2 linked regions of the Oreochromis niloticus genome follow. The protein of the gene in region 1 interacts with the protein of each later gene in a pairwise test. Links are inferred from orthologs where the notes say so. Each region holds a gene or a part of one and is shown on either strand. Other genes may lie near its edges.

Region 1 (11,237 bases):
AAATTATCGTATTCTCCCTTAAAAATTAAATAAAATGACAAGATAAAGCCACTCAGATTTAATTAAAAATCTTTTTTAATTAAAAAATATTTTTTTGATAATTAAATAATGATCTTTTTCACATCTTTACATACTTTTGGTACTCCAGCATACGAATCCCCTTTAGCGCATAATGTAAATTGAAACTATAGCAGAGACCCAACTGATTCATAACTCTCAAAAGCCACTGCTGGGCTTGCTGGAGGAGTTAATGCAGCCATTTGAGGATGCTTATACAGTCTTGCCCTTTGCTGACCAAAACCTTTTAGATTTTAATGGCCTTTTCTCCTGCTTCCCCCTTCACAAGTATGACAGAAATTGAGTGGACATGCTTAAATGCTAATTGAATCCTGGACATGAGACACAGTCCACTGAATGGCTGTTAAATGCATTTACAGTACTGTCTTGAGCCACCCCTCATTTCTTTATATTTTGCTTCCAAAGAGGCAGACTTTCTTGCAATCTGTTATAAAGCAGTCACAAGCAATAGTTCTCCAAGTTTTTTGAAGGTCTTTCAAAGTTCAAATCACTGTCAGTTTGCATGGAGGAGGTCAGGATAGAGGTACACAGTGAGTGTTTGCAGCCATCTGTAAAAAAACAGTGGAGGTTGTGTCTTGGCTTGGGTGCACACATTAGCCAGTGGTTCTTGTACTGTCAAATTTTGATCTGTCATCCAGTACTATCTGGAACGCATCTAATTAGCAACAGCTTTATTTTTCACAATGACAACAATCCTGAAAACAGTAAAAGCATACATGGATAGAAAAACACGCAAGAGATGGGCATGTGATTAACTCAGCTCCTGTACAGGGACACTATCAGTCATGGATTGGCCTCCCCTCTGCCCAGACCTCAACATTATTGAAGCAGTGTGGGAACAGAACAGAATGACAGGTAGACTGAAGGTCCTTCAAAGGTCCTGGAGAACTGTTCCTGAAGACTACTTACAGAAATTACAACAAAGCTTCCCTAAGAGAGCTCAGGCAGTGATAAAGAATAAAGGCAGCCATAACAACTATCAACTTTAAGCTTCGTTAAAAAGGTCCAAACCCAGTTTTTTCCTTATTTACTGTATTTCCATGTATGTTTGCACTTTAACCAATAAATGAGTGTACTGCATGTAGCACTGTATTTGACAAAGAAAACAAGTGATTAACAGAAACTGACCCACTGATCATGAACCACTGACTGGTTGAAATTTGTCCATCAGTAATGCTCACATGGCTCCCTCCTGGCACTAACAGCCATGTCACATTCAAAGTCACTTAAATCACCTTTCTTTCACATTCGGATGTTCAGTTTGAACCTTAGCACATCGTCCTGACCACGTCTACATACCTAAATGCACTGAGTTGGTGTCATGTGATTGGCTGTTGGTAGATGTACCTAAAAAGTGGCCAGTCAGTGTATATGTACAGTGCTTTAACAGAGTAGGGTGGCCTGAGTGATTCATATCCCACTCGGCCAATTCATCTTACTTCATGCTCAAAACGCAAGGTGACAAAGCTTTGACACCTTATGTGTTGTTGCAATGATCTGCGCGCAGTGGAAAGATGAAAGGAGCGCTTGTCCTTGTTTGTCCCTGACATCCGCTTTATTGGCAATGACCATAGTGTCACCATTGAGACTACAGGTTAACTGCTACAATCCCATTCACATGTAACTGTCCTTACGGGAGAAGAGAAAACTGCCTTCACTGATAAATACAAGTCGTTTTTTTCCCCTGCTGAACTATAATGACAGTGTGAGTATGCTTTGTACATAAGGGATAATTATGCAAATCATTAAGAACCTTCTGTTCAGGGGAAACATGCTTCGCCTTATACTAAACAATCAAGAGCTAATTTGTTTAACTGTAACTGTCTGCTGCCTCCTGCTGGACGTCTACTGGCATTTTCAAACTAATTTCCACAGCACTATCCTCAAGACCAACAATCCAAACACAAGTCTAGGAAACATTTAATTGTTACTGACTGCAACACAGCTATAGGTTCTGCCATCTGGCGAAGTGCTAAACACTCCTACCTGTGTTGCTCCACGAAGGTTTTCAACCTCTGCAGGGAGTCCAACCTCCTGGGTGCCACCTTGTGCCACAGGGCCAGCTGGCTGCTGCTCTGTGTCCTCACTGGCTGATATTTGGCGGCCCAGCTGTCCATAATTTCCCCTTCCCCATGTGAACACTCTCCCGCTCTCTGAAACAGATAATGGAATTGTTTTTTCAGTTTGAGCAACTGTCCTCTAAATCCTGTAAAAACTACTGAACATCACAGACCCGAGTACCTGTCTGAGCAACAATATGAGTCCAGCCGCTCCACACATTTATCACTTTTTCTCCATCCAGCAGAGATCGCTTAAGAAGAGTGGGAGAAGACAGGAAGGACTCTGTGGTGGTCAGCTGACCATGCTTGTTGCTTCCCCACAGAAACAAATCGCCATCTCCTGCACACATGACAGCGACAGCATTACTCTTCATTCAGCACAGGCAGCAGAAAAGCAGAACAGCAATTGAGATGATCTGGTGAACTAATTACAGGACATCAGAGAGGGCAGACTTGATATATGATAAAGAAGATCAAGACAGTGGTAGTGCTTATGAGTGTAAATTGTCCCTATGAATGAGCAGTGCAAAATACATAGCTTATTTTTGCACAACATATTGAAGCAACTCACTACCGTCCTACCTGTAAGGCACACACAGTGTGCTGACCCTGCAGTTACCCGGTGTGATATTCTTTGATCCAGACCTGCAACAAGGTCATAAATATCTGTCACATCTACAAATCACCAATAATAGAATAAATTAATAATTATTTATGTTCAGTACAGCTTACGTTACCTGGTACCAGACAGGGCACCTTAGAGTTAAAGTGAGATGGGACAGCATGTGGACTGAGTGCTCTCTTAGCATAACTGAAAAGACCAGTTCCCCACTGATAAACACAGCCTGAGCCTGAAAGTCAAACAGAATTACAGGATTTACGGCTTCACTGTCAAATGAAAAACAGGAGCAGTCAGAGTGCATACCTCCACCAAGACTGAAAATTCCCTTCACACCATGCATGCACTAAGTCCTATGAGATGAAAGATATCTGGATGCAGACTGGTTTATGGTATTTTCTTTAGAACATCAAGCCAAAGTTTAAATTCGATATGCATTTTGGAAGATATCCCATTTTTCAGGATCCAGATTTGGACTGAGTCCAGAAATGTAATCCATTCTAATTCCCAACTCTGATAAAGTTTTCATGCAAGTTCATACTATATATATATATTTTTTTTTATAAATACAGCTAAGAAACATACAGACAAAGAAACATAAAGACAGGCAAAACAAACCAATCATGTAACCAGATGTTAAAAAAACATGAGGGCAGTTCACAGTGCTACCTTACCAGTAACAGCAAGTGAGTGTCGGAGTCCTGCTGCTACACTAACTACTGGCTCCATCAGACTCTGTCAACAAACAGCACAATGACATCTGCCTTAATGAAAGTGATTAAGATGGCAGGTAAGTAAAGATAATTTATACTAATGCAGATCACTCAAGATGTATTGAATGCGTATTAAAAAAAAATTAAAACCTTTACTTTATAAAAACTGCACCCCCATTGTGTTCTCACCTCAACAACCAGTAGATCTGCAGAGTGTGTCACAGTCTGTCCAACACCCAGTTGCCCAAACACATTGGAACCACATGCTAATAGTTGCCCACCGTCTGAGAGTGTGCCATAACAGGAAAAGAAATATGCCTTTATCTAAGACACACTGAAAAATTCCGCTTTTGGGTGAGTGGAAGGTAGTTAAGGTGACCTCTGTTATTCCCATTCTTACTGTTTCTCAGCTATGCTCTGTTTAATTCCTCAAGCATGGGTTGACTGTGTTAAATATGTAGGGTTTTTTTTGTTGACAATATAGCAATAAATGTGAGTTTTTTTCACCCTTTTTCTAGAAACATATGTATCATAATGGTCTAAGTGTAATATATCTGCACTTTCAGGAAAATTAGATCTAATATAATATAATATGATGAAGGTTCTAATATAACACAGCTATATTATTTTATTTTATATACAATTCATCTATTGTATTATTCAAATATAATAAAATGTTATATTAGAATAAAAACTAACATTGCCATAAAAGATCTATTATCCCTGCCCAAAAGAAACACCTGTGTTTTGGCTAGCAATATCACCCTTAAACAGAGTACAAATAGAAATGAGGAAAAATTCCTGGTAGGAAACGGTGCTGACTGCTCACCAGTGAGAAGAAGAGTAAAATCCCAACCACAGGCGATGTCTGTGACTCTCTGATTCAGGATGGGGCAGTGCTGAAGAGTTGAGATGTCTGCACTGTGGCCAAGTCCCAGCTGGCCTCTGTTATTCTGTCCACACACAAACACCTCGCCACTCTCTGTCCAGCACAGCAACATGGGAACAATCAAAGATTTTACTTAGATGTGTTATTTTTGGGACAGTTACACCTGCACACTCACTCTAGACATTTACTTAAACAGACGAGACTGAACTGAGTGGAAGTTTGCTTCTACCGTTTGCTGTTAGATCATTTATAATTTTTTGCATTAAACAGATTATCAACATAAAAACAAACAAACAATTAATTTCACTGGCCAGAAGGAGGCGCTACGTGACCTATGAAAGTCTTGCTCACATTACCACAACCGACTAAAAACGTCATCATTCGCAGGTGGGCTGAAGTTTGTGTTTAATATAGGACGAAAGGCTACGTACCGGTAATAACTACGGAATGTCCCCCACCGCCGCTGATAGCCCGGACTGGCCTGTTTTGTAGGGCAGCAATGTTAGAGAGCCGGGGCGAAGCCTGGTCCTCCACATGTCCCTGGCTCAGTTGCCCGTAACTGTTGGCTCCCTGACAGAAACAGCACAGCTCAATAAAAGTATATGACAGACCGACAACTACTATCAGTGCTCAGGTGAGCGTGAACCAGATGTTAACATCTGTTTTTTGTCGCCTCACCTGTAAAGACAGTAAGTTTGGACGCTAGTTAAGCTAACGTTAGCAAAAGTGCTACGTCTTCTGCGTTTCCAATTGAAGAGTCACTTTGTTCCTTGCATTCAAATAAAGGAATTACACAACCAGATATACGTGACTTTTACAGTGTACCGTTCAATATAACAAACTTACCCAAGAATGTAAACAAAACTCCAACCGTGCGTGTGTTTCCATGAGTATCTGGGCTAAACACTCAAGTATGCTTTGCGACACTGTCGCGAAGGCGCTTGAAACGGATATATGAGTGGCAAAAGTTACAAACTAAGTTATGACTTTTTAGAAATGTAATATCTAACAATATCTAACATACAGATACATAATATATGGTAAAATAATGGGTGGATTTTTTAAAGCAGGATACTACAACCTGCCTGAAGCACCAAAGGACTCCACAATTGACATTCACCTCAACATAAACTCATCGTTATGATTAACTTGTTTGTGTTTGACAAAGTTTGTGATTTTCCCAAACCACGTCTTGGCTGTTTGTGGAGCTGAAATAGCTCCACACGTGACTCGCCTTACTATCACCCACTGTCACTGACTGAGAGAGTGAACACACATAAGCCCTGATGCATTTATACCACCGTATTTCGCATATCACCACGACAGGTGGAAGTAGTCCCTAGGATCCCAATAATACAGTTACGCTCCCATGTGTTTTTGTTAATCATAAACTACAAATTTACCTCACATTACTAAAATGTTGATATTTTAATATGAGAATCAATTCTAGATTATAAATATCTGGTATCGGAGGAATCGATATTTCAGTATCGATTGTAACGCCACTACAGAAGAGACTACAGCTTCACAAAAAACGACTTTAATGTTAAATGATCAAATTCTTCAGGTGACAAATTTAGAATAATCTGGGCAGCACTATTATGCCTAAGTTTTAATTTGATTCACCTTTTCAATATGAGCTACCCTTATGTGTATCATTTCTTGAAGTTATAGTTTTAATGTGTTAAATCAGACCAATTTCTTAAGCTGGGCAGTAAATACTCTTTTCTGCTCTGTCTGTTCCTTTGGATTACTGACCTCAGGTATTCAAACTCATCCACCTTTGCTGCCTCCTCCTGGCATCTTCACTGTAACACTGTTCACACATATCTATTCTGTCTTGCTTCTAGTGACCTCTTCTCCCCAGAGCATACCTCCATCTCTCCAGGCTCTCTTCCACTTGCTCTATTCTCACTACAAATCATACTGCTGTCTGCAAACATCATTGTCTACAGAGACTCCTGCCTGACCTCTGTCAGTCTGTCCACCACCACTGAAAACAACAAGGGCTAGTCTCTGATGTTATCCCACCCCCACCTCACCACTGTCTTGCTGTCCTTATAGATGTCCTGCACTACCCTCACATATTTCTCTGGTGCGGTTCCTCTATTGGCACCCTTGCATGTGCGTTATCGCCACGTTTATCATCTGGACCTAGCACCTTTCCGGTCTTCATTCATCACATCCTCAAAGTATAAATAAATAATATAAATATAATAATAACAACATAATAGAAAATAAAATTGTATGACGCCATTTACGTGTCCACGAAATGCGTTTAAGAGTCAGGCTTGATATTTCTGCTACCTGTCTTGGAAAGTTCTGTTCCCGATTGGACTTTTTCATTAGGCAATAAGTGTCTTGGCTCTCAGATCAAAGGCATATTTTTTTCTACAACACTTTATTGAGATTTTGCAAACTCCAGCCTCAAAATAATTGTTATAATCACTTTCAGAGTCTTCGCTGCCATCATCTTGCATCTCTATCATCAACAGCAGCATCATCCTCAGGATTCAATAACAAAGTTACATCCACAAGGACTAATAAAAGTAGTAAATCAACAATTAAACAACTGTTTGACATGCTATAAACACACAAAGGACTTTTTTATTCAATTTTTTTTGTTTGATTCACAACCCTAGTTCTAATGTCTATATTTCTTTACAGTAGAAAAATAATGTCTTGATTTCTGGAGTTCTACAATTGAATTCACTTCAACAGGAGGTATTCAAAATCATCACTGTAAAGTAATCGCTGACATGGGCCAAATCGATCATAATCAATCACAAGAGCATTCTTATAACAACAGCTATTTAAAGGTGTCACTTTCATAATTTCCCTCAACAGCACACAAAAAAGGAAAATTACACACACACCAAAAGACAAATACAAAGAAGGTACATTTTAAACATTTCATTGAAGAGAGGAGTATTAAACATGAAGAAGAAGAATGAAATGAATTACAAAAAAAGAAAAGAAAACTCACACAATCATATACAAAAGCAGAAATAACAATTGGAGGTGTCTGTAACAGCTGGAAGTGTTTCAAAAGTGAACTGAAGTACCATCAAAGCACATAAACTGTTTGCAACATAGAAGCCAAATAGTACCTCAGATTAAGCAGCTCTTTGGGTTTGTCAAATATCTTAAAGTTAGTGTCTAAACATACCTAGTGCACCTGTAAATTGTGTAAGCTATATAAACCATGCAGTGGAGACAACAGAGCATTTTGGCTTAAAACCGATGCTCATTCATGTTACTGGCAAAGGACAACACACAAGCAACGTCTCTACAGCAGTGCCGGGGATGACAGACTGTCGGTGTAACTCCATGTGAACTGTGCGCAGTCAGACACCCAGCTGTTTGTTCAGCCGGCTGAGTGCGTCACCGACGATGTCAAGCTCGTGTCGCAGCTCCTCCACCACACTGTTGATGCTGGGAGTGTCTTTTAGCACGTCCACACTCTGGGTGTAGGGGTTGTATCGAACTGTGAAGGGACGCTTGATGGTCTTGGCAAACTCCCTGAAATGAACAAAATATTAAATAATATGCAATCAGCAGTTTAGCTTAAAAAGCCTACTTGCTATTCTTGCTGGGTCTATCTATATATTATAGTGTACAAGTTAAATGCTGAGTAATTAAGCTCACCTCATTTTGACTTTGGCCTCCTCAAAGCTGTCTGACACAAAGTAGACATCTTGAAACGTTGTGATGATGCATTCCTGCTTGGATGTAATTTTGGGGTCAAAAGGCATTATCCTTGCATTACCAGAGAGCGCATGCTGTCAGAGAGAAACACAGTGGAGATGTTGAAAACACAACTTGATCATTTAATAAATGTACATCTATATTTTCTCATCAAATAAAGATTCTTTATTATGTGTCTTGAGGTGGAATTTGATCAAGATTATAACGTAAAAAGACTATTCTGTCTGTGTTTTTAAAGCTCTTTGTGTAAAGGTGCCCACTGTACCATCCTGTTTGGATGTCTACCTTGAGCTCACTGATAGATGACAGGAGTCCAGCTCCATAAGCTCGCAGCTTCCCCTCTTGTTTGCATAGACCAAACTCCACAGTGAAGAAATAGCACTGCAACCCAGAAGACGAACACAAGCAATTAGGATGACCTTGTTGGATTTTGAAAAAGAAATATCTTCATAAATATTGTTTGAAAATTAGATTGCAGCAGTGACTCTTACAGTGGCCAGTTTTTGAACTGAATCATCGGAGGCTCCAAGTGAAGCGAGACCAATCTCCTGAGAAAACTGGGCAAAGCTGGGCTCTGCGAGCAGCGGGACGTGGCCCAGCAGCTCGTGGCATGTGTCCCTTAATAATAAAAGAAAACCAAATATTAAAACCAGAATTAACATTTACATTACATATTTAGATATAGTTTTGGTTAGTACTCACGGTTCAGGGGTGTACAAGGGGTCGGAGCTGTGCCGCACATACTGGGTGCAGTGGAAAACGCGGAATGCCAAACCAGCAAGAAAGTCACGGGGGGACAGGTAACCTGCCACAGGCCTGATGGTAAATCCAGTACGTTCTGAAAAGATAGTGAAAATATATGAGTGATTGCACTGTTAAAAGTGAACAAAATGATTTAAATCAAAGGAATATTTTAATCAAAATTGATAATTTACCCCTGAGGAAGCGTGAGACATCTTCCAGCTGAGGGATGTTGTCCTCTCGACATTCACAGTATTTGGACAGCAGTGGCAGGTTCTTCAAGTATTCCCGGCAGGCGTGGGTGGGGTACAGCTTGTTGAGCTCCCTGTACACAACACCCCAAGTCTTCACTTCCTCCTGTGTGAACTCAATACGAGGAATGGGATCTCCACTGGAAAAAGACAGAAAGAACTCCATAAGAATCATGATTTTTTAAAAATACAATAGACATTTAAATAGATCAAAACTTACTGTTTGTAGGCCATGGCAAGATCTGCAAAATACTTTCGCCTTTTCCGATAGACATTGTCCTTGAAACCCTGATAAAGAGAAACGTAGGAAATATGAGAATGCTTCATTTTAAGGGAGTTTGGTTTTGTTTTCTGAAGTGAAGCAGCATGTTGATAATGTACCGGATGGTCGGCATCCAGTTCAGATCCATACATCAGGACTCGGTTAGCACACTTATCCAAATCTGAAATCTTCTTTGGGAACCAGGGTACTTCATACATATCTGAGAACAGAAGAAAAAAGGTGTTCAAATCTAATATTGTACCTTTAATTCAGCATCTGGAGTGTATTCACTCACTACTTTCTCACCTTCCTCGCGTAGACAGGAGTTATCTGGAGGCTCCATATCCACCACATTCACATGCTTCCGAAGCAGCTGGATGATTTCATTCAGTTGCTCGTGGTTGCTGTCACAGTCCACAAAAATTTCAAACTCAGAGTTGCGTCTTTTGGATTTCCTGGACTCAATGTGTACAAGGTTCACGTGGTTTTCCTGCGAGAATAAAACAAAAGAATTCTTTATTCATTTCAAAGCTAAAAATGTGTCGCAATCAAGTCATTCGGTAAAAAGGAGCAGGGTTGGGGGATGTACCTGGAAGAGTTTGAGTGCCTTTACAAGCCCCCCAACTTCATTCTTCAAGGAAAAGATGATTGTCGCTCTCCCTTTCTCTGATGAATTCTTCTTTTCGTTGTTTTCTTCAATTTTGGTAAAGGTTGACTTGTTTATCTGAAAATGATCAACAAACACAGAGAAATTCAGGTGTGTTTAATAGGGAGAAAAAAAAACAGTGGAGCAAATGAACTTTTGCTAGCCAATTTAAATTGGCTTTAAAATAATAATAAAGTCTACATAATACCCTTATCCACAGACTTGATGCAGAGCTTCTAATTACTTAAGACTATAAAACCATCCTAAATAACAACAATAGTAATCCTATAAATATAAAGAACTGCAGACAGTCAGTCAGTGTTTAAAACATACACTGGCAGGTATATTTGTTACTCTAAAGGGAATCATTGGCTTTTTCTTGATATCGCTGGTGTAAAAAATGAGTAATGGAAGTGCAGTGCATGCGCACAGGCAGGGCTCAGATTAAGGCTGACCAACTTCTTTGTCCAGTTCAGCACCTCGGATAGCGCTCTCACGTTGACGCGTGCCTGTGCGCGCTGCACACGCCAGGGGAAAATTATTTTAATCCTGCCTCAGATTTTAGCAGCGAGGCTGTTAAGATGCCAACAGTACAGAATAACTAATCTGTTTTGATTGACTCCAAAGTCTTATCCTTTACTGCTGATACTGATACTGCTTATTAAGAAATTTTAAAAAACAAAAAAAACAAACAAACTTAACCCCCGCTCCCCCCCAAAATACTTTAGAATTTGTCATCAAACAATTAGCACATAATGCCAAAGTCCAACGTTTAGACGGGATTAAAAGGATCACGCCCCTCACGTGAAACAATTAAATTCAGTTAAATTATTTCCTACCACACTTCGCCCTTCGTACATGGTGTAGACCGCGCGGCACACCAGTTTTCGGTAAGCCCTTGCCGGTAGTATCCCTGAAAGCATTAGTGCATGGAGTCTGGATCAGGACGCTGCCTGAGGTCAATTTTTTGCGTCTCGGTTTAACGAAGATGAACTTGTCTCTGCCTCAAGGAATCGCCTTACAGCAATCTCATTTGGAGAGCGGGGAAGCCTATTATTAGCTCCCCTCCACTCTGAAATCTCGCCACACGTTAGGGAAGCTCTTAATCACTATAGCGCGCACGTTTTTTAGGCCGTTAAGTGGGAGAACATCGCTTCCCCTCATCAAATACTTTACTTTTTATAGTTGTGAAATAAATACGAAATAAAAAGATATCATCTTTTTTTTTTTAATCCAGGGGTATCAACGAGAAACTTATAAAAAAAAAAAT
Region 2 (11,574 bases), on another chromosome or scaffold:
CTTTGTTTTTTTTAAAGCGCAACCTTCATCTGTTCACAGCAAATGCCTCGGCTAGACGCTCGTCCTCCCACATAATCCGCAGGAAGTCCATCAAACACATGAACGTCGTGACCTTGCGTCTTCTGAAAGATTTCATCTGGATCAAGTGTGATTTCATTCAAGATAAATCTGGAGGAAATACAGGAGGCAGTGAAAGTCTGGCGTTTCCCAGCACCACTTGAACAGAGCGTCGAGATGGGAAACGGGAAATGGTTAAACCGGGGTCTCTGTGAGGTCAAAGGTGAGAAGGTTCAGGATTGAGCGACCTCCAGTTTGGCGTGTGACGGAGCTTCAATGATTTCTCCAACCTGGAAAAGATCCTGAAACACACACACAAAAAAAGCCTGTCATTCATTGACAGGTAGCGACGGCCCGTACTATCCATCTGTCTTAAATTTAAAGTTGTACTTTTTTTAAAAAAAAAAAAAAAAAAAAAAAATCAATAATTTACACGAACAATTCACCAATGATTTGCAGAATAAAAGCATGACGGTTTAATGTCCCCAACACAAAAAAGTAATGTAAAAGTACTTTTCAGAGGTTTTTATGATGCTGCATTGCATCTTTTCTTTTCTATCATCTTTTTTTATTTGAAAGTTTTAACTGATCGATATAAAACTGTCCTGATCAAATAATGAGAAATATTCTGGTGTTATCACAGGAAACATTTTAGATCAAATAAACACTGAAGGTACTTTAAATAAAACAAAGTGATTTCCAGCTTCTCTAAAGTGAGAATTTGCTGCTTTTCGTCACTTTACAAGAAACCTTTTAGATAACTGTTCGTTGAGGCCTTTATGGATGAACTGAAAAGAGGAAGTCACAGATACCTTATCGTAGATGACTTTAACGATGAGCGAGCAGCTCGGACATGTCGCCACCTCCTCCCCGTTCTCCAGGTCCTCCTTCAAAATAAAAACAAATAAAATCTTCAGGTTTCTGTCGAGGTTTGAATGTTTTTGTGGATTATTCCCCTCTCTTCCCCAATCAGTCCACGAGTGACATGGTTAGCCGCATGTTCTCCTTAAATTGCTGGCTATCTGAGTGGTGTCCAAAAAACAATGTGGGCTTCAAAGATAACTGGGAAACTTTCTGAAGGAAACCTGGTCTTGTTAGGAGAGATGACATCCATCCCACTTTGGATGGAGAAGCTCTCATTTTGAGAATTCTGGCCAAATGTATTAATCCCCCCAAAATATGACTATCCAGAGTTGGGACCAGGAAGCAGAGTGGCAGTCTTACACGCCTCTCTGCAGCTTCTCTCCTCCTGTTACCTCCAAAAACCCATCTCCATAGAGACTGTGTCAGCTCCCAAACAAATGAAAAACAAACAAGAAACCAGCAACAAACACCTTAAACATAAAAAGAAATCACAAAGAAAGAACAATACAGTATCCACATCTGAACCAAAGAGTAAAACAGTGAAATGTGGATTATTAAATATTAGGTCGCTCTCCTCCAAGTCTCTGTTAGTACATGACTTAATAATTGATCAACAAATCGATTTACTCTGCCTTACAGAAACATGGTTGCAGCAGGATGAGTATGTTAGTTTAAATGAATCAACACCCCCGAGTCATTCTAACTACCAGAAACCTCGAAGCACAGGCCGAGGGGGCGGTGTGGCAGCAATTTTTCACACCAGCCTATTAATCAACGAAAGACCAAGACAGACTTTTAATTCATTTGAAAGCCTGATGCTTAACATTGTCCATCCCAGCTGTAAAACTCAGAAACCAGTCTTACTTGTTATCATATATCGTCCACCTGGGCCTTACACAGAGTTTCTCTCTGATTTCTCAGACTTTTTATCTGATTTAGTGTTCAGCTCAGATAAAATAATTATTGTGGGTGATTTTAACATCCATGTAGATGCTAAAAATGACAGCCTCAACATCGCATTTAATCTGTTATTAGACTCAATTGGCTTCTCTCAAAATGTAAAAGAACCCACCCACCACTTTAATCACACTCTAGATCTTGTTTTAACATATGGCATAGAAACTGAACATTTAACAGTGTTTCCTGAAAACCCTCTGCTGTCTGATCATTTCCTGATAACATTCACATTTACAATAATTGATTACACAGCAGTGGAGAGTAGACTTTATCAAAGTAGATGTCTTTCTGAAAGCGCTGTAACTAAGTTTAAGAATATAATCCACCCACTGTTATCATCTTCAATGCCCTGTACCAACATAGACCAGAGCAGCTACCTGAACGCTACTCCAACAGGGCTCAAATGTCTTGTTAATAATTTTACCTCCTCACTACGTACGACTCTGGATACTGTAGCTCCTGTGAAAACTAAGGTCTCAAACCCGAAGTACCTGACTCTGTGGTATAATTCTCAAACACGTAGCCTAAAGCAGATAACTCATAAGCTGGAGAGGAAATGGCGTGTCACAATTTTAAAAGATCATCATTTAGCCTGGAGAAATAGTTTGTTGCTTTATAAGAAAGTCCTCTATAAAGCTAAACAGCTTACTACTCATCACTGATTGAAGAAAATAAGAACAACCCCAGGTTTCTCTTCAGCACTGTAGCCAGGCTGATCTGAAATCTGTGCACCTGTCACATAAAAGAAATCATCAAGATTGTACGGTCACTCTTCTCCATCTACGACATGTTGCCATTCGTTTTCTGTCTCTTATCTGGGGCTGGGTCATGGGGGCAGCAGCCCTCTCTCAGCTACCTCCAGTAGTTCTGGGTTCTCCCAGTATGTTGTGATCTTAACACCTCAGCTGCCTCCTTTTAATGTGCAGGAGTAACATCTTTACCTGACACCCTCAAACTGACTGGCCTTCTCACCCCATCTCTGAGGGAAAGGCCAGCCACCCTTTGGAGAAAACGCATTACCTGATCAAACAATTGCAGGATTAAAAGTACCACAGGCCACCCGACACAAATGCTGCCTGTAAGAATAAACTCTCCCCTCAGAGCACTGCAGCAAAGCCACCAAGTCTGAGGAACAGAGTTCAGACAGACAAAGTGTAGGGACAGTGTAAAAACTGCAAGACACTGACTGCAGTCGCAAGTTTGGGATGCTTCGTGAATTACAAATAAAGAACTCGTCATGAAGTCGGACTTTCCTGGATGAATCTTTGGATGGTGCTGAGCAGGCAAACACTATTAAAACTGATAAAGTCTGAGTTTCTTCTTGCTTATTCTGAGTATCTGTTTCAGTTTTAGAGTGTTCAGGTATGCCAGATGCATCCATGCGTGCATTTCTTCCAAACTGTTTCTTTGTTTTATTGTTTCAAAAAGAAAAGAAAAAGAAACAGAGATCATCTCCATCAGTATACGACATACCACTAAAAACACCCAAACTCCATTAGAAAAAGTCTAAATTTCCCTCCTGTACATCCGTGTATTCTACCTGCAAAGAAATTAGATATCCTTCAAATGTCAGATTTCAGCACAGAAGAGCCAACTCTTAGTCACTGAAGGCAGAGACCCACAAATAAGCTGCAACTCACTGCAGTTTTAGGATTTCTTCAGCCTGCTAACATGAAGGAAGTCTTGATATGGTGAACTGTCATCTTGTTCCTGAATTTAAGAGAGCTAAAGTTCACTTCAGCTACAAGTTTCTACTATTTCAGAAAAAAAAACTACTTAAAATATCGTCTTTTCTACCTTAAACCATGTAAAATAAAGTTTCATGATGTCACAAGAAATGACTGATAATTACTCAGTAGGCTTTGATTTGTTTAAACGTTTTTACTCTCTTAAATTTGAAGACTTTTAAATGGAGTTTGGTTCCGTTCACTGATGTCGAGTTTCACTGCTGAGAATAAAGTATGGTGCTGGTTTATTATTTTCTATTCTTGTGTTTTTTTTTTTTATTTTTGCTGCTCTTAACTTTGTACTGTCCACTTTTTTGTCGTGACCAAACAAATTTCCCACGTGTGGGACTAATAAAAGTTTATCTTAGCTTAACACCAAACCAAACTTCAGTCAAATAATGAGAGATTTTACGTCCCACCTCTGCGGCAACTCCGAAAGGAAGGTTGAAATACTTTTTTTTTTTTAAACGGACATATATCAACCTGCCATCAAAAAATCCCTGCCGAAACCAGAACAAGACTATATCAATGAAGGGAGTGGGGAACTCTGTTATGTCCTCCGTGTAAATCACCCACTGTATGAACATGTAAAAACGGGAGATTTCAAACTGAAGTTTGGTTTGTAGCTGTTAGCCGTGAGCTGAACTTACTTTGGTGATGGCGAAGCGATCTCCGCAGGGACACGGGAAGTAATACGTCTCCGTATCCTCGTCGTATTCAAAGTCCTCGATCTCCACTTCGTCGTGAAACACCGACATTTTCCCCTAAACACACGCAAAGTCCACACAGAACAGCGCCAGATCCGCACCGGCAAAGCGTGCCTGCAGCGCGGTGTGATGACGTACACAACCTCTGACTCAGCGCTGTGACGCAACTCTCAAAACAATAACACAAACGCGGTCAATGTAAAATAAGGAAAAGTGAAAAATAAGAGCAGTAAAAGAACAATAGAATAAGTTATAGTGAAAATATTGAGTTTTAAAGAGCTACAAAATTTTTTTATTGTGTTTTTGCCCTTTTTTAACTACGACTGTAGCTTGTAGTTCCCACTCATGTCCACTACAAGGAGCCAATTTATCAGAGAACCCAGCTAATATAATTTCAACCATTGTACCTTTATATTCATAATAAATACTAAAAAAATACATATGTAAAGGATTAATAGATACAACAAGTCAACCAGACATTTGATAATAATAAGAATAAGAATAATAATAAGAAGAAGACATTTAGATGATGTTGAGGATCAGTTTTAAAGGGCAAACTCCGGAAGCCTTTAGACTGTTTTTCAGTGGCGTTTGTTGTTGTGTGTGCTGGTGAGGCTCACCATTCAAAAATGTTTAAATTTGAGCCCAACAGAAACTCTGCTGACATGATTTCAGTGTGATTTAAGACCAAGGCTGAGATTGTCGAGGGTAGGCTGTGTGGCAGGCAGGATTCGGGTCCAAACTCAGTTTTCATTGATGGTAATTCGCAACAAACAACAAAAAACGTACACGGAGCAGAGCAGGAGGAAAACAAACACACAACCTGAAAATCAACAGATCACTAAGCAGCGTGACAGTGATGATGGATTGAAATGACCTGAAGATGATTTCATGAAAATGTTTTCATACTTTCTGGTGACACGGCTCGAGGTAGAAACACTGTCGACAAAAATAATTTTAATAAAGATTTCTTTATTAAAAAATGAAAATAAAAGCCAACAAATAAAAATTAAACCTCTCATATCATCACTGAAATCTCCGAACTGCTGCAAAATTAAATACAAAGGAAGATATTTTATATGTTTGGATCAGTGAAAAGTTATTAAAATGACATTTTCCCCCAAAGGCCTCAAACAGACTCAGAATCACCTCTGACTACAACGAAGGCCCAGCCCACAGCCTGTCGGTCCACAGGAAGCTCTCACTTCCTCCAAGCAGAAACAAGCTGAGTGCTGAAACTTTCTCTGCACATGCTCAGTAGAGATGTGGCAGCAGAAGTTTGAACATAGAGCTGATATTACAGGTATGAAAGTTGAAGATATTCAGTATTTTTTCTTCACCTGTTTATAAAGTTTAAAAGACTGAAACCTCAGACTGACATTAATTTAATCTTCAGGTTTGGTTGAAATGATTTTTCTGTGATTTCTTGTTTTTATTTTTGTAATCTTCTGATTTCTGTGTTTATTGAATTGTTGGATTCTTGTTTTGATTTGTTTTGTTTAGCTCTTGTGATGATGACTCTGTGATTGCTGTTCTTGGTTCTTGTAGTGATGACTTTCAGTTTTTTCATCCTGTGTTTCTGGTTTCATGGTCTTGGTCTTCATGGTATTTTTATTATCGGTGGTAGTTTAGTTTCCTCTGTCTCAGTCTTCATGTGACAGGATGTGTTGTTTTGCTACAACATGGTGGTAAAAGCTACCCCGAAGGCCTGTGATGGGAGTTTTGTGATCCTTTATTTGAGATGGCTTTTAATCTCAGCGAATCGTTATGTTTGGAGCAGACGTTAATATCAGATTGAAACTTGCTAAATTGACACTTACATAAAGGCAAGTTGTATTTTTGCTTTTTTCAGAAGCTTTCTTGGATTACATTATATATTTTATATATGATTATTTTCATTGGATTGTCTGCAGTCTGTAAGATGACATAGAATCAAAGCAGCCAACAAAAGATAACAACCCCCCCCCCAATTTTAATTAGAGCACAGACCATAAAAAAACATGTTGTTTTTTTTAAATAATCAACATTTAGTAAGAATAAATTATTCCATTAATTAAAAATGACTGACCATTTGAAACCAGTTTATTCCCTTAAAAGACCAGTTCAGACCAATTAGACCAAATTTAGACCTAAAAAAGACATTAAAATTATGTTTGTTTGTTTGTTTTCCTTTACCATTATACATGTGTGTGTATATGTATATATATCTGCTGAACTCGAGTCTGATGTCAGATCAGAATGATCAGGAAGCAGGAATAGTTACTGCTTTTTCCACCTGGGTCACTGTAGTTCGTTACAAGGCCAGTGTAGACACTTTTACCAACATTAATCGCTTCAGATCAGTAAAACGAGCAGCTTGCAGAATAACACTAATGCTTAAAATGACAATAAAATCTTCATAAAATCTTCAGTCTTCATACCTGCAGTCTGTTCCTGAACACGTGACTGTCCTGGAGGTTTATTGTTGATGTGATCATGACTGTGATTTTCAATTGACTCTGATGCAGTTATTTTGTTTATGTTCACATCAAAAATAATTTAATGCAGACCCTCTTAAAATCATCCCCAGGTCATGGGTCAGCTGCTTGTCATGACCTCATCCTTGTGTTTCTGCGAATCGGCCTGGCTGAAGAAAGGTACTGAACTGATCGGGACATGGCGGCTCTGAAGGTCGGTGTTGTGGCTGTGATGATAAAAATATGAAAACCCTGAAAACACAGAGCAGGAAAATAAAAGTTATTCCTTTCAGTCTGCTTCCTTATTCCTTATTCACCTTAATGTTAGGAGCTTCTTTTATTTTATATGTAGTCATATATATATATATTATACATACACTTCAAATATCTGCTCGGTTTATCAACACATCACATATTTGTAAAAGTGCCTCCAACGTTTTCGGAGACATCTGTTACCCACGAGTTCGATAGCTAGCTGGGGTTCAAGGCTCACTAGAGCCGGCAAGAACATCGAACTCCCGGCACATCGTTTTCAAACCCACCGCGGTCTTTTGCTACTCAGGTTAAACATGATGTATAAGCCACTTAGATAAATTGAAAATGTTATTGTTTGGCTTTTTTCAGTGTTTTATTTGTTCCTTAGTTTGATTTTTCATTGACATTTCAATCCTGACAATGATGGATCAGATGAAAAATCAACATCAGTTCAATGTCTCCTTGCTATCTGGGATTTGTCGGCTGCATTCAGAGGAGTCTACCTTCGTCGCGTCGCTGTGACGTAATCGGCCTACAAATGCGGCCTCAGGAGGATGCAGCCCATGAATTTGGACACCCCTATGGTAGAGAATATACTCCAGTGTCCTGTTATATTTTAGATAGCAAGAAGCAGACGGCTGAGTTTATTAAACTCCACCGAGACAATCTGGAAATTTCATTAAAAATTTAATAAACTATCATCTGCTCTTATTATGCATTATCTGATTAGTCGACTAATCGCAAAAATAATCGGTGACTAGTTGACTATCAAAATAATCGTTTGTGGTGTGTGTGTGTGTGTGTGTGTGTGTGTGTGTGTGTGTCATATCAAAAATAATTATTTTTTGTTTGGTTTTTTTTATGTAAAGTTGCCCTGTCAATTATCATTAATATTTGATAAGTATTCATTTAAAGAGATGTTTATCAAAGTGTCTCACATATCATAACCCTCCATCCATCTCTTAGCCATCTCACATTGGTTTGTAGGTTATATTTCTACTTTGTACATGAAATTAGAGATTCAGTGAGATTTAACCAAAAACTCTGAGTTGAAGTTTTAAACTCAGAAGGTAGAGTCTTACCTGTGTGGTTGTGCAGAGGCAGAACAAAATGCTGAAGACCAGGTTCATTGTTCCTGAAGTGACAAGGACCAGATACCCAAAAACCCAGGACACACCCAGTAACACAGCCAGAGTGAAGCATTCAAGGAAACTCTTCCTGAAGCAGGACTTCCTGGTTGCTTTAATGGACACATAAACCAGCAGGACGATGTTGTAGATCAAGATCAGGCCGACTGGAAGGAGGAAACCCCAAAACAAAGGTTTCTCAAAGCTGAAGTGTTTGTTCTTATCCAGCGCTGCCAGCCAGCAACTTCAGTAACATGAAAAAGAATTATACAAATAATATGAATAAATAACTTTGTCTAACCTTTGGTAAAAACGAAGAAGAACCATTGTAAAGTTTGTAAAGATAAAAAAATTAATTAAACAAGTTGTACAGGAGAATGATTGTATCAAATTGAATCTCTGTGAGTAGCGTCATACAACAACAACACTGTAATATTGGTAAAAATGGGACTTTTGTTCATTGTGAAGTACAGGTCAGTCTAAAGTAGCTAAATGTGGTTTGTGTGATTACCCACAATTCCTCCTGTCTGTATCCCAGAGGATTGTTCACCCTGTAGGTCACCCCCAGTGTGATGGCCACGATCAAGGCTGGCACTCCTAACATAATATTTCATTAATTGAGAGAGATTGAAGGGTTTTCAAGAATAAACAGCTTGTCAGATTTAAGTCCAAATCAGTTTAAGATGCGTGAACTGATTTTTCTGAATGTCTTACCCCATCCCAGAGCCATGCTCAGCAGAGTCCAGAGAGGTGGTAGACTGCGGCGCATTTTCTGAATCAGGATCTGAGTACCGTTCACGCTGTTCCACATGAAGGTGGTCATCAGGAGGAAGTGCAGCAGAGCTGCTACAGCCGTACACGAACCACGGTCTGGTTCTACGTGTTCGTCCGAGTCCAAGAGGTTGTTGGTCCGATCGTCAGTCTGCACCTCAATGTCAATTTGTCTGCTGGAGTTTTGGACTCCAGAGACAAAGGTGATGATGAAGGCCAGCAGGCTGAAGTAGATGCACAGCCGAGATTGCACTGATGTCAGGTTGGTCTGCTCTTCTTTCTGAAAACTACAGATGAAAATGAAAAAGTTACACATCATAACATGAAGTCCTAAAGGAAAACAGTAAAAGAAATACTTGTCAATTAAATTTTAAAAATGAGATTAAAAATAAATAAATACAAAAATACACAAATACATAATTAGAAGGCTGAAAACAACATTTCAATGTTGCAAAATTTGATTCCTGTGTTTATTTTACAAATCAAACAGTTTTCATTTTTGTGTATGAGGTGAATTTAAGAGATCCAAGAATGGGTCTATGTGGAGCACCTGTATTTATGGCAATGACACTTCTCCTGCACTCTTTAGACACTGCTGTTTCTACCACATAAGTAGTTTTGAAACCATGTTCAGAAAGTATTTAAACTGGCTTCACTTTGATATTAATGTTGCATTCTGATAATACAGTTTTTTTTAATTATATATTTTTTCTCATTAATCTACACTCAGTTCTCTATTAATGACAAACTGAAAACAACATTTTTTAAGTTCATTAATAAAAAAAAATCTGAAATATTCTCAATACCATAACACTCTTTAATTAGTACTTACTTGAAGCACATTTGGCAGCAATTACAGCCTTGAGTTTGTTTAATTATGATGTCACAAACTTTGCACATGGGATTAGGGAATTTTCTGACACTCTTCTTTAAAATTCCTTTAAACTCAGGTTGAATGAGCCCTGTCAGTGGGCAGCCCTTTTCAGAGACATTTGATAGAGTTCAAGTCTGGGCTCTAGATGAGGCAATAACACTCCCACATTTACAGATTCAGGCCAAAGAGTTTAATGTTTGTTTCATCAGACCAGAGAATTTTGCTTCTCATGTTCTGAGAGTCCTTCAGGTGCTTTGTTTGGACCCAGCAGTGATCTAAAAATTGGCTTTATAAGACTCTCTTCACTCTGCTGCAGGCACGTGCAGAGGCGGGGGCAGAAGGGCTTGAGCACCCGCCCCTTTCCTGATGGGTGCCCAAAGTGCCCTTTTGTTGAGGATTTTTTTTTTAATTTTATGTATATAGATTTTTAAAAATTATTACACATGATATAACACAGACCAGACATGCCTCGTAAGGATGTTTCTACAACATTTTCCGTCATTACTTTATTATGGATTAGGTGCAAGAGTTTTTAAGTGTGGACAATTAAATAATAGATTAATTCGATAGCAAATTGTGTCTTGTTCTCAGATAGACAGCAAGTGGACAGTGATAGCTTAGATGAGGAGATGGAAGGAGGAAGAGAGGCAGAGTAAGTTACAGGGCTTTTGAAACAAATGGAATCATCATAAATACATTATTTCATATTTATTCCTTTTTTTCCCCCTCATTGCTTTATTATTGTAGCTCTAGTAATAAATATTAAGGCAAGGATTCTGGATCAGCACCATGATGCCCACAGTATATACAGTATTCTGAAGAAGGTCTAAAATGTCACTGTGTGCGTGTGTGTGTTTTATGTGAATAGATTTTTTAAATTATTACTCATGATATAACATTGTCCAGACATGGCTGGTAAGGACATGAGGAGGAAACAGTAGGAGCTGTGTGAGGCTACTAAAGGCAGTGGATCCCTCAGCAGCTGGATTACAAAGAGCACAGGTAACATTAACACATGTACCAGTTGTTGGAGAGGTATTCCAGTATAAAAATAATAATAAGCACAACTGAAATGTTTTGCTTCTATAACATTTTTCTGTCATCATTTTATTATAGATTAAGTGCAGGAGTTGTTAAGTATGGATAATTAAATAATAGTTTATTGCAAAAGCAAGTTGTGCCTTGTTCTCAGATAGACAGCAAGTGGAGAGTGATAGATGAGATGAGGGGATGGAAAGAAGAAGAGAAGCAGAGTGATTCACAGGCAGAGCCGAGTTTATTTCTCACAGTTTTTTGTTGCCTTATGGTTCCAAGCGCATTTTGTTATGTTCTTTGCATTTTGTTATTATCTCATGACACTTGTTTAATCAGCTACCATCTCTCCTATGAACTTTTTACTGTCTACAGTCTCAGATCAACACAGCCCTGCCCTCCAGCACTATCAGCAGCAGAAACCCCTCAACAGCAACATTGTACCCATCAGGTAAAACATAGGTTACGTTTGCTTTGCCTTGTCGCCACCTCACAACGGTGACATAGTATGATGCAATCCCATATTAGATTCTTGATGAATGTGTGTTGTTGTTATTCAGCCTGGTTCAATGTGCCCCTTTTTAACTTTGAGCACCCGCCCCTTTAAACAACTCTGAACGGCCCTGCTCTGCTGTGTTGGAGAATTAACGCGGTGGTGGTGAAACTAGGGGAATTTGGATGGAATCACTTGATCTACATTCATCACAGCTGGGGAAGGAACAGTGATGTCAGACAATGCTCCTCACT

The links.
Region 2: the proteins of sergef (region 1) and dph3 interact in binary tests that used the Homo sapiens proteins (3 or more experiments, as listed by UniProt). The link is inferred for Oreochromis niloticus from reciprocal best matches to the Homo sapiens genes SERGEF and DPH3.

Annotation. Positions count from the first base shown.
Region 1 is NC_031972.2:50,491,671-50,502,907, forward strand, and holds the start of sergef (secretion-regulating guanine nucleotide exchange factor), read right to left. Parts: upstream 5,602-11,237; 5' UTR 5,488-5,601; coding exon 5,480-5,487; intron 5,300-5,479; coding exon 5,206-5,299; intron 4,930-5,205; coding exon 4,791-4,929; intron 4,453-4,790; coding exon 4,300-4,452; intron 3,755-4,299; coding exon 3,660-3,754; intron 3,493-3,659; coding exon 3,432-3,492; intron 2,990-3,431; coding exon 2,876-2,989; intron 2,784-2,875; coding exon 2,721-2,783; intron 2,479-2,720; coding exon 2,320-2,478; intron 2,232-2,319; coding exon 2,065-2,231; intron 1-2,064. Other genes in the region: tph1a (tryptophan 5-hydroxylase 1a), read right to left, coding at 7,707-7,881, 8,008-8,141, 8,353-8,448, 8,559-8,685, 8,770-8,905, 9,003-9,199, 9,280-9,347, 9,441-9,541 and 2 more. UniProt on the Homo sapiens protein: Probable guanine nucleotide exchange factor (GEF), which may be involved in the secretion process.
Region 2 is NC_031986.2:28,439,980-28,451,553, reverse strand, and holds the start of dph3 (diphthamide biosynthesis protein 3), read right to left. Parts: upstream 4,476-11,574; 5' UTR 4,364-4,475; coding exon 4,256-4,363; intron 945-4,255; coding exon 870-944; intron 360-869; coding exon 291-359; 3' UTR 1-290. Other genes in the region: adhesion G-protein coupled receptor G7-like, read right to left, coding at 6,901-7,020, 8,106-8,394, 8,666-8,747, 8,865-9,208.